Linked DNA regions of Arabidopsis thaliana. The protein of the gene in region 1 interacts with the protein of each later gene in a biochemical or structural test. Each region holds a gene or a part of one and is shown on either strand. Other genes may lie near its edges.

What was found.
Region 2: the proteins of FWA (region 1) and FT form a complex in vitro, tested with the Arabidopsis thaliana proteins (one study listed by BioGRID).

Annotation. Positions count from the first base shown.
Region 1 is NC_003075.7:13,036,222-13,042,964, reverse strand, and holds FWA (FLOWERING WAGENINGEN), read right to left. Parts: upstream 4,606-6,743; 5' UTR 4,548-4,605; intron 4,446-4,547; 5' UTR 4,337-4,445; intron 3,673-4,336; 5' UTR 3,654-3,672; coding exon 3,484-3,653; intron 3,363-3,483; coding exon 3,245-3,362; intron 3,049-3,244; coding exon 2,464-3,048; intron 2,377-2,463; coding exon 2,275-2,376; intron 2,181-2,274; coding exon 1,977-2,180; intron 1,806-1,976; coding exon 1,634-1,805; intron 1,521-1,633; coding exon 1,153-1,520; intron 1,065-1,152; coding exon 723-1,064; 3' UTR 501-722; downstream 1-500. Other genes in the region: homolog of DNA mismatch repair protein MSH3, read left to right, coding at 1-265.
Region 2 is NC_003070.9:24,329,448-24,334,563, reverse strand, and holds FT (PEBP (phosphatidylethanolamine-binding protein) family protein), read right to left. Parts: upstream 3,192-5,116; 5' UTR 3,187-3,191; coding exon 2,854-3,186; intron 2,039-2,853; coding exon 1,977-2,038; intron 1,264-1,976; coding exon 1,223-1,263; intron 1,099-1,222; coding exon 875-1,098; 3' UTR 565-874; downstream 1-564. UniProt on the Arabidopsis thaliana protein: Component of the mobile flower-promoting signal (floral stimulus or florigen). Promotes the transition from vegetative growth to flowering. Required for 'SEPALLATA3' (SEP3) and 'FRUITFULL' (FUL) accumulation in mature rosette leaves.

The DNA.
Region 1 (6,743 bases):
TCCATCATGTATACGTCGAGCCATTTCAATGGCTGCAAAATTGGAAGCTGAGGTACGTGCAAGAGAGAGAAATACACGCATGGGAGAACCAGAAGGACATGAAGAACCGAGAGGCGCAGAAGAATCTATTTCGGCTCTAGGTGACTTGTTTGCAGACCTGAAATTTGCTCTCTCTGAAGAGGACCCTTGGAAAGCATTCGAGTTTTTAAAGCATGCTTGGAAGATTGCTGGCAAAATCAGACTAAAACCAACTTGTTCATTTTGATTTAATCTTAACATTATAGCAACTGCAAGGTCTTGATCATCTGTTAGTTGCGTACTAACTTATGTGTATTAGTATAACAAGAAAAGAGAATTAGAGAGATGGATTCTAATCCGGTGTTGCAGTACATCTTTTCTCCACCCGCAACCCTGTTTCTTTTCAGCTTGATTTCTAGTAGTTATTAGAATTCTGGAATGCATTTTTCACCTGATATAGTGAAGCATGATCTCCATCAATGTTGAATACGAAATATATTGTTCTAACTCTCTATTAATTCTGGTTTGTAACAATTTGAGAGTTTCAGAAAAGGAAAGAAGAAAGGAAGCAAGAAATATCCAGCAAACAGATCAACAAACGCATAAAAAAGTTAATCCAGAAGAGTCTTGGTTGGAAAAGCAAACTAGGGCACAAGCCAATGTCGAATTTCTTGCGGAACAACGGAAACTGGAGCTGCTGATGGTTACGTCTGTAAATCTAACGCGGATTTGATCTTGACAATAGTATGAGCCATGAGTGTCTCGACACTTTTGACAGTACCTTGAATGAGTGCAGCAGTTGGATTGATGCCCACCAAGATCTGAAGTCCAAATGTCAGTAGACATCCTCCACCAGTATTGCCTCTATGATATGACCCATTTACTCCATCTGGCACTATCGAAAATCCCGAAGGAAGAAACTTCACAGAATCTGAATTTTCACCTCTCTTGACCAGCTCAATAGAATTGGTTTCCACTGGTGCATACACCACCATTGCACCTGATGCATCATTCCAAATCTCTTGCAGAACCAGCATACCATTATTCTGTTTGCATTGCAAAACTCACGAAAATCAATGGAAACATAGACAAAACGACACTCATTAAACCAAAAATAAATGTTTTGAAACTCACAACGATTTTCAGAAGAGAGATGATGTTTCCATGGCGTTTTGCTTTTTGAATCCGGATTGTTTCTTCCATGGTAGTATCATTGGTCAAGATATCCCACTCGTGTCTGAAACTCAGGTGGCTAATGAAAGCAAAGAGTGTATGCTGGTTCACTGGGAGCCAAACAGAAGTGGATGCACTCAGCACAATCCCAGTTAGCTCACCAGGCTCATTCACGTTCTTTCGGATCATGAAACTCATGTTTTGTGCCACATTCTCCACCTGAATTTTCTGCCACTTGTCCACCGAAGGACTCGTAATACCTCTGTAGTAGTTGAGAGTCATTCGCTGTGCTAGCTTCACTATTTCAGTTGCACCTTTTGCAGACAATCCTATATCGAAAACATATATCACAATCAAGGCCTGTCCAAATTTAGTGGAGAACCGAAAATGACCTAAAAAGTAGTTGTAATGAGATTTATTCTATAATTTAAATAGCTTTCACCTGGACTAATTTCAGTCAAGTTGGTAGATGAAAGGGTCGAGAGGCTTTCGCAGTGTCTCTGCAGCGTCGCGAGCCATCTCTTTGCACCTAGCCCGATCCCATAGCCAATCAAAGGCTGGTAGAGTTGGTGGATGTGACTCTCATTATATTCCGCTTGTTCAATCCATGTAACCTGTGAAATCAAATCTCTATGTGTTATACATGTGGTGAATATAATAATAACCATTAACCATTTATTTATGTCTCCACAGTACAAGATGCTCTGATAGATCATTAATTATGATTGCGAGTAATAACAAGTGAACCAACATATATTGTTCAAAGAACAGGATTCAGAAGTAACCTGGGAGTACCCATTGGACAGGTCGTCTATGATAAGGCCTGAGGGTAGCCTCTTAGAACAACCATAGGGCAGCAAAGTCGGATTTTGAGTAGGAGTAACGTCGACGACCACCCATAAGCCCTGTCTGATCTCTTTGCAGTATCTAATAAACGTTACTTTTCTCTTTGGTACCAGCGGAGAAATTACTTGAAATTCTGCTTGAATCTGCCAAAATTATATGATCACAAATTTGAAATGTTTCTACTTCTCTTGGATTATCAACCAATATAGACGACTCAGAAAACTATATATATTATACCTGTTGGAGTGAGCCACTTTTGGTTCCACCAGAACCGGTAGATAGCACTTTATGGGTTGATGCCACAGGGACTATAGGTGCAAACACGTTGACCCATTTGCCCTGTTTAAAAAAAAAAAAAAAAAACTTGTTAACATTTCATGTAACAACATTTCACTAAAAAATGGGTGGTGGTTTAAAGGTTATTACTGTGTCCATAAGAGTCTTGACCAGAGTCACGCAAGTCATGGGAACTAAACCTTTAGCTCTTGAAGCCTCCACAATTTGCCCGGGAGGTTTTGTGACATTGTTGAAAGAACTTCTATACTTCTCATAGATCTTTGATACTCCTTTGGATCTAACGATTGGATCTATCATCCAAAATGGACAGTCCACTTCTCCCAATGTAATCAACTCTCTCAAAGCCGTAATGGCAAGATTCAGAAAAATTGATGTCTCCTTCTCAGACGTCCTAGTTCCACCACTAAAATCAAGTACTGGTGTTGCATTTATTCCTGGATTAGAGGAAGAAGAAGGCGCCTGTTCGGATGTACTGACCATCCTTTGTTTGGGATGAGAAAGGTATCTGGAATTGAACTGGTCTATCTCCCGCTCCAAGTTAGCATTCTCAGCCATAAGTTTTTGCACCTCATATTCAGTGTCTCCACAATTAGTTGCCTTACCACAAATGTTGCATAAACTACGTAGCATTGCGCTTCTAAGCTGATCCTGAGTTGCTAGCAATCTGTCATGCTCTTCTCTAAGAGTTACATTCTCAAGGTGGTCATTATTGATCTGCTTACCCAAAAAACCACACTCAATAATTATACCATAATCAAGGCAGATTTTGAGGATGAGAGAGAGAGGTGGTAAACTATATACAGTATTTGTTTTTAACATAGGGCAGAAACATGGTCCATAATACGGTACGTGCAAAGAATAAGAAAAGACACAGCCACATGCATGTATACACTTCTGTATTTTTTGGTACCTTCTCGAGATTTCTTTTATTCTGGAACCAATTCTTGACTTGATTGACACCCATATTAAGCCTTTGTCCAAGCTCGTACCTCTGTTCTTCAGTGGGATGAGGATTTTCCATGTAGAAACTACACTCATTTTAAAGTAAAGAGCAAAGTAAAGAGAAACATTCCAAACTCAAAATAAAAAAATAAAAAAAATAATAGGAAATGTTGCATGATGATGAAATGAAGAAGAAAGTGAACAAACTTTTCAAGTTCTTGAGTTTGATAAGCAGTGCGCCTATGGGTTCTTCTCATCCTTCCACCATCTTGATCATTAACACCAGACATATCATTAATCATATCAATCTCATCGCCTTCAGCTTCACCTGGTTTTGGAATGTTTCCAACCGCATCCAAATCACCTTGTCCATTCATTTTCCCTCAATGCAATAACCTGGACATTGCATACTATTAGTACTCGATATAGAGGTTTAGCTCCCTGGACATATAGTGAGTGTGATCAAATTAATACACGTATAAACTTTATATTAACCACCAAACAAAAAAGACTTAAAAAGTTTTTTCTTTTTGGTTTTAATGCTGAAGATTTTATCGATAAATTATGCCCCAAAAACACAATGTTAAGATTTACTACCAACCTAAGATTATTTACTATTTCATTCCAAAGTTTGACAATTGCAACAACTCAAAAGAGACAAAGCCAATCTAAACTGAAAAATAACAAAAAACAATCTGCTTTATACTGGAAAAGAAATACAACCAGAATAAAATTCAAGTAGAGAATGAACCAGTAAATGGTTCTTTTTGGAAGAAGAGAATTAAATTAACATTTCTAGTGTCTCGACAACGAACAAGACAAAAGAACTCAAAAATTTGGGATACCCATTGTAGAGTTAACACAATATTTTTCAAAGTACTTTACACATAAGCGAAAAACAGACAAATCGGGAACCAAAATCATTCTCTAAACAAAATGTAAAAAAATCTGATTTTTGGCTGAAAAAAACAACAAAAATCTGATTGTCAGTATCCTACAAATCGATAAATCGTAAGAAGAAAACATAAAAATAATATTAAAGTTGTGTGCTAAAAGCAACCTTAAACAACCAAATAGCACTTCGACCAATGTCGAAAAGCAAAAACCGTAAAGCGGTGCTCGTATGAATGTTGAATGGGATAAAGAGCGGCGCAAGATCTGATATTTGGCTGGAAAAAACAACAATAATCTGATTGTCAGTATCCCACAAATCGATAAATCGTAAGAAGAAAAACATAAAAATAATATTAAAGTTGTGTGCTAAAAGCAACCTTAAACAACCAAATAGCACTTGGACCAATGGCGAAAAGCAAAAACCCTAGAGCGGCGCTCGTATGAATGTTGAATGGGATAAGGTATATATGAGATTCTCGACGGAAAGATGTATGGGCTTCGATAAAGAATATATGAGATTCTCGACGGAAAGATGTATGGGCTTCGGCCCATAACTCTTTGATATTAGTATAGAACCATAACAAAAGAAAAAAAAAAAACCTTAAACAAGTAAACACTAAACCCAATTGATTCTTTACTAAATTTAGTAATCAATGGTTATTGTGAAATGAAATTTAACTTTTCTTTCATATGAAAAAAAAAATTGAAACCATCCATGGATGGCCTAGTTTTATTTAGATAACTAAATATCTATGTTTTGAAATAGTAATCTATTACATGACACAAGAACGAAGATTAACTAAATCGAGAAAGAAAAAAAAGTGTAGATTTGGTAGACGCTGAATATATAAAAAAACTAAAGTGATAAAACAAATTGTCTTTTTAAAAAAGTATGGAATTTTCAAATTTCCCATTCTTTCGGTATATGATGAGAACCTTCACATGGATTTTATTTTTAACAACAAAAATCAATGTTGAAAAGTGTATGTACCTATGAAACAAAATCAGGGTCTTAACTAGTTTTTTGTTTTGGTTTTGGTTTTAATCTTTTCTAGTTGCTTTGCCTTATTTATAAGCGCAGATGAGGAAGAGAAAGGCGAAGGCACATCAGCTGCATGGGACGTTGCTGAAGCTGTGGCGCTCTCATTGTGTGATATCTTCAATCTCTGTTAATAGCTTTGTAATGGTGGTAACAATCCAAAAATACCCAATTACAATCTTATAAGTACCAATCATCATCCATCCTATGGTTTTTCTTTTTTAAACAAAATCCGATATAAAATTAATAAAAATCTATTGTATTAACACTAAAGGTCTATTTACGAAAATTTATAGTTACAATGATATGAAATGATAGAAAAAATGAAAGATTATAAAATTGTATTGACCGAAAAAAGAAGTTTAATATATATATATATATATAGGGATACTCATTAGAAAATCTATATGCTTAGTGAAAAATGACTCCTTCCCATAATATTAAAAACAGATAAACGAAATTGTTAACTAAATTTATTCAACAATAATAAACTTTTAACAATGACAGGTCACACTTTAAATGGAAATATGCATTGATAGACTTTCTCGGTTGAAGTTGTAACTCTAGATTTATTTTTGTAGAATTTAAAGATGTATTTTGTTCCTTTTGTTGTGAGCTATGAAATTAATACCTTATAATTGTAGGTTTTAGGAAGCGGTTGATGTATAGCATGTGCAGAGTAAGCTCGAAATGGCTGAGACGAAAAAAAGTGTCGCCACAATGATTTACTTTTTACTACTATACTTTTGATCATTGGGACCTAATGGATGAATGTTGTGTGTTGTGGACGAGTTTATGACACATAACAATATTGTAGACAAATTGTCTAATTTGAGTAGAGATACTAAAATTTATCTCCATATAATTGTATACTGTATATGTATAACAAATAATTCAATTCATTGGCCTAAGATGTTTTATTGTATCTTTGTAGAATTTTACACTTTAGAGAAAAATCATTGCAATAACTCGATGAAAAAAAATGTTTATCTTATCCTAGTTACAACTAACTATCTATCTATCTCTTTGTGGTAGGAGATTTGCATCTGATCGAACGATTCATATGGTGCCACGTAACTATGGTCCCACTTCTATTACGAGATCTACTAAGACATCAGCACGTGTCGGTGTCGTTTGATCCACGAGGTCGGTGACGCTTAGAGCTAGTTGACCGGTACAGTCGGTTATTACCGGTTATACTATATGTATGTTTTTTGGTCAAAGATTTGGAGCTATTTTATAGTTAATAAATCAAGAGTTTTTTTTTTCCACAACTAGGTCTTAATTTGTGATTGTTTTTTTCTTCCATTTTTCCAAAATTCTCTTATCAATTTCAGGTTAGTATTTTTGTTACTGTCCCTAGCTTTTGACTATTGTACTACTGTATACCCTTTTTTTTTGGCTTGAGAAATTAGATTTTGTTATGTTTGCGTAAAATATTTGTGAACTCAAAAATAAAATCTCTTTTTTTTTCATTGCCGATATTTTTTCTTCCATGAATGCTGCTGTAAAGTATTAATTTCCCTCTCTACTG
Region 2 (5,116 bases), on another chromosome or scaffold:
TATGGATATTTAAAGTTTAACTACAGAAAGACACTTCCTTTTTTTGGATGTCTAAAGTGTTTTATTTTTAGTTTTAAACTCAAATTTAATTTTAAAATAGAAAATACATTAAATCGAAACTTATACTATTTTAGGCGTTGAATCAGTGATCTAACCATAACTTGACAGCATAACGTCTAGACGGAGCCAATACAACCGCCTAAACCGCTTTTAAATAAAACATAAATGCTTAAGTTGTTCCTCGTATTTATCCCAAATTAAAAAAAAAACGTTTTTCTATCATGGGAACAAGATCTAACGTCGAAGTCCATTAGTAATTAATCTTCAGAATGTATAAATACTTCATATGTTTACCTTTCAAGGATTTAATAATTAAGGTTTGATCCTAGGATTCGATCTTACACATGTGTTTCTTCATACGTGAGCCCATAAACTTAAAACCAAAATATTGCTCTACTTTTCTAGCTTATGTATTGAATGCAAACTCTTTAGTTTGATATATAATGATCGACTTGGATATTATCAGTACTTTAGTAGCAACACAAAAAAGTGTATTATGGAACCCAAAAGTAAAACAGCAGATTCTTCCCACTGCCTGATTTTTGCATCGAAAAGAAATGAATACACGTAAAGTATAAATATAACACTTCATTTCATGTAGATTAATATAATTATCGCATCACACACTATATAAGTAAAACACTCTCATTTTCCTCCCCCTCTCATTTTTATTACACACTTATATATTGAACTACTATAGGCATCATCACCGTTCGTTACTCGTATCATAAAATGGTTATTAAATTAAAATACTATAGATGCATAAATCTCATCAGAGTATGCAATATCAATTGGTTATAAAGGAAGAAGCCATCTAAAGTCTTCTTCCTCCGCAGCCACTCTCCCTCTGACAATTGTAGAAAACTGCGGCCACGGGAAGGCCGAGATTGTAGATCTCAGCAAACTCGCGAGTGTTGAAGTTCTGGCGCCACCCTGGTGCATACACTGTTTGCCTGCCAAGCTGTCGAAACAATATAAACACGACACGATGAATTCCTGCAGTGGGACTTGGATTTTCGTAACACACAATCTCATTGCCTGAAAAATAAAAAGTTCATCAAAACATGTGAATTTTCTAGCTAGTAACTAATTAATTAGGCTATTTCATATACCTTTCTATATTTCTAACACCTAGCGATCTAATATATAGAATAAAACTCACCAAAGGTTGTTCCAGTTGTAGCAGGGATATCAGTCACCAACCTGTAATGAGAGATAGCCATACACATGTTTAAGCTATGGCACCACAACATAATTGAAATGCTACTTCTTTTTTTGACAGAATTGAAATGCTACTTAAACTTTATTTTCTTACAAAAAAATAATAGCAACGTAACTAATTCCTAGATTACTAGTGCAAGTGACTAGCAAAACATGCAATAACATTCAAGTGCATGAATATATAAATAAAAATAAAAAGTGATATAACAGGAAACCTAGTCCTGCTCACTTCAAGGAACAATGATGATGTCATCAGGCTATTTTAAGCTCAATGATATTCCCGTACAAAGACCACTTTAAAGTGAAAAAAACAAATCTTAGTTCAAGTCACGTCCTATACATTCTATAGAATCTATGTGCGATCAGTAAAATACACAGACATACATAATACATATTTACATTACACATAGTAAAGTTTTTGAACAAAATATGTCAATTTAGCTTGGGTGTGGGCTTTTTTGGGAGACAAATTGATGCATCGCACTCTCGAAGTTGATTTTATATGTCTCCTTCTATTAAATGTAAAATGTTTGAGTCTTAAGTTATAAGTGATCTACTCAATTTCAAAGTATCCAAAATACATGTCCAGTTTTACATGTGTAGTTGAGTGTCTATATATATAATTCGAGCAACATGTTTGAGCTATGCTATAACTTAAAAGTGAATTAATTAAAGAGTTGAGTTAGTGCACAAACCAATGGAGATATTCTCGGAGGTGAGGGTTGCTAGGACTTGGAACATCTGGATCCACCATAACCTTCATTAAACAAATAAGACGAAGAATTATAAGAAGATAAGATTATCATTTTCAAAGAAATCAAGAAAGCAAAAGGTCTTTTTTTCTTTTTCTTTTTTGAAGTTTGGAAAATGAGATAACACAAGAAAGAAGAAGAAAACTATGAATAGAAAAAAGGTAGTAGCTACATGTCTATATATAGCAGAGAGTATCTTAAAGGCTGGCTTGAATATCAGAATATCCTTATTCAAACAGTTTTCAAATATTCCACAACAGAGATTCATCAATATATATATTTGTTTTAATGAACATCAATTTTCTATATCTTTTTGCAGATATTTTAATTAGCAAAAAGGATATTTCAAAAATGCCATTTTCAAAGTATAGTAAAAAATTATACTTAAAAAAAAACAAAAAAAAACAAATGCAAATTAAATTATTAGGTAGGAGGAACAAAGAAAAATCCCAAGATTCTTATCCTAAATAATAATCACTTATGCAAGAAGTTGGTGGAAAAAATTTGGGATAGATCATAAATTTATCTCTATTTAATTTAGGATAGGAAGAAATATTTTATGGGTCCATCTTCATGAAAAAAGAAATGAAATATAAATTAGTTTTTGATTTGGGTATCATAAAGTAAAACCAAATAAATCATAAAAAAACAGAGAAAAGGAAAGCGTGGGGCATTTTTAACCAAGGTCTCTGCATGCCCAAGAAATATTTTCAGTATACCCCAAAAAAGGAAAATAATTTCTATTTTAAAAAAGAAGGTGTAAGAAGCACTGAAGAAACTAAAGAAGAAAAGAGACAAAAGGGAGTTCAAGTGAAAGAACCAAAGTATAGAAGTTCCTGAGGTCTTCTCCACCAATCTCAACTCTTGGCTTGTTTTGAACCTGAGAAGGCCTTAGATCCAAGCCATTAGTCACCTCTCTTTGGCCATAAGTAACCTTTAGAGTGATTGATCTATTAAACGGATCAAGAACGTCTCCAACAACTCTGCTTACTATAAGAGGGTCTCTTATATTTATAGACATCTTTGATCTTGAACAAACAGGTGGTTTCTCTGTGTTGATTGTTTCTGTTTTACTTGTTTTTGTTTCTGCTTCTTTAATTTGTATCATAGGCATGAACCCTCTACACATATTTATACTGTTTCGGATTTGCATTAACTCGGGTCGGTGAAATCATAACCACAATCTTTTTCTTGTCTATTGATGTACTAGAATCTAAAACTGATTCTACGTACATCACACATTGTCGTCTTATTTCATATTTTTCTTTCTTTTTATTTCTGTTTGTGGTATTCCAAACCCACCACACTAATACACTGGAAATATTCCAAATTATATCTCCCACTTGGTAGCCACTAATTTTTGATTTATTTCCTTTAACAAGATACCTCTCTCGACTAAATATTATTTACTTTTATACAAAGATATTAATTATGATAATGAGTAATCAGTAGTTTCATATATATTTAGTTTTGCCATATATTAACATAATTTATCATAACAAAGTAAGATTATTAATAAAAATAAGAAAAAAGTAGGGTACCGCCAAGTTTATAGAGAAAAAAAAATTACAGTATCACTTGTTATGTTTTTAAAACTATTATTTAGAGATATAAAGAAAAAAAAAATTCTTAAAAAATTCGAAAGCGAAAACGTTCTAAAAGAAAAAAACTAAAAAAAAAGTTGAGATAGAAATCATAGAAGAAATGATATATTTTATAAAACAGCCTTTTCTTGTAGTTATACCAGGTAGAACAAGGGATCCTTCAGGTTAGATAGAACCAGGACATTTGAGAATAGTCACCTATTTTTCTAGCCGCTTGTGTTATATGGTCGACAAACAAATCTCAAACATGTAGAATGAAGGCAGTTATTTTCATCGTCCATACCTACCAATGTCCGAACTCAAATACGCAAAATTATCTCAAAATGAATTAAGTACAAGATATCTGCAATTAAATAATATAAACCAAATCAATTGTTTTATTTCTCTTCTTTTTTTATAAACAAGCGGCCATATTATGGAAAAGTGAGTTTTATAATTGAGATAGTATCTAGTGTCTTGAAACAATTATATCATACGGTAATCTATCTATACATATAATATTAACTATTAAAAATCTAAAGCAAAATAATGATTACTTTTTAAAATTAGACATTAGTTTGGTTGTAAAAATACTAACCATCCATTTGCACGACCAGGATAATTGGTATATATACTTATGCGTCTATAAATAGGTATGGATTTGCTAATTTGAGAGATTTTCTTTTTGACATTGCATCAACATATATAGATGTAACTACCATTACCACTAATTAGAGCATTTCTTAAGTTCAAAGATGAAACTTATAACCATAGCCTAACAACTGTAGGAATTATTCTTTCTTTTTCTTTTAATTGGTAATTAAATAATTAGCGATAGGTTCTACTGTCCAAACTGGAAAATAAAGGAATTATTCAGTGATGTAGTTTTTTGTAACATCTCAGTAATGTATTCATATTGAACTTTATCTTATCATTTCAGACTTCAGCCACTGTTCTACACGTCCATAGGTTAACTTCATCTTAGGTTGAAATCCAAAATATTTGGTAACCTTCATAGAAATTTCAGATTTGTTTACTAAAAAAGACGTCTACGATCGACCATTGATAATCGAAATCGCAATTAAAAAAAACTCGAAATCTGCTATATGCACTTTTTAACGACTAGCATTTATTTTCTACTAATTTTAGTTACACACAAAAAAATGTATGCATTTTTAAATATTGGACAGGAGAGCTCAGTACTATAAGAATTGTTAGTAAATTTTGTCATTCAATCATGTTAGTGTTCATACGAAACAAAAGATGTGATGTAGAAAAAAATAGGTCGCAGTCGCAGACAAGATTAATTGTTCGCTAAAATGAGATAGATGGATTGTCCGCCACTTGTGTATATCATTTTTCATTTGTTCAGAAAAACAAAAGTGTATCTTTTTGTTTTTTGATTTAATCCGATATATATTCATTTTGTATTTCTTCTTAAAGAGACTTACGTTTGCTTTAAGATAAGTAGTTTGCTTTCTATTTTCAGCAACTTTTTAA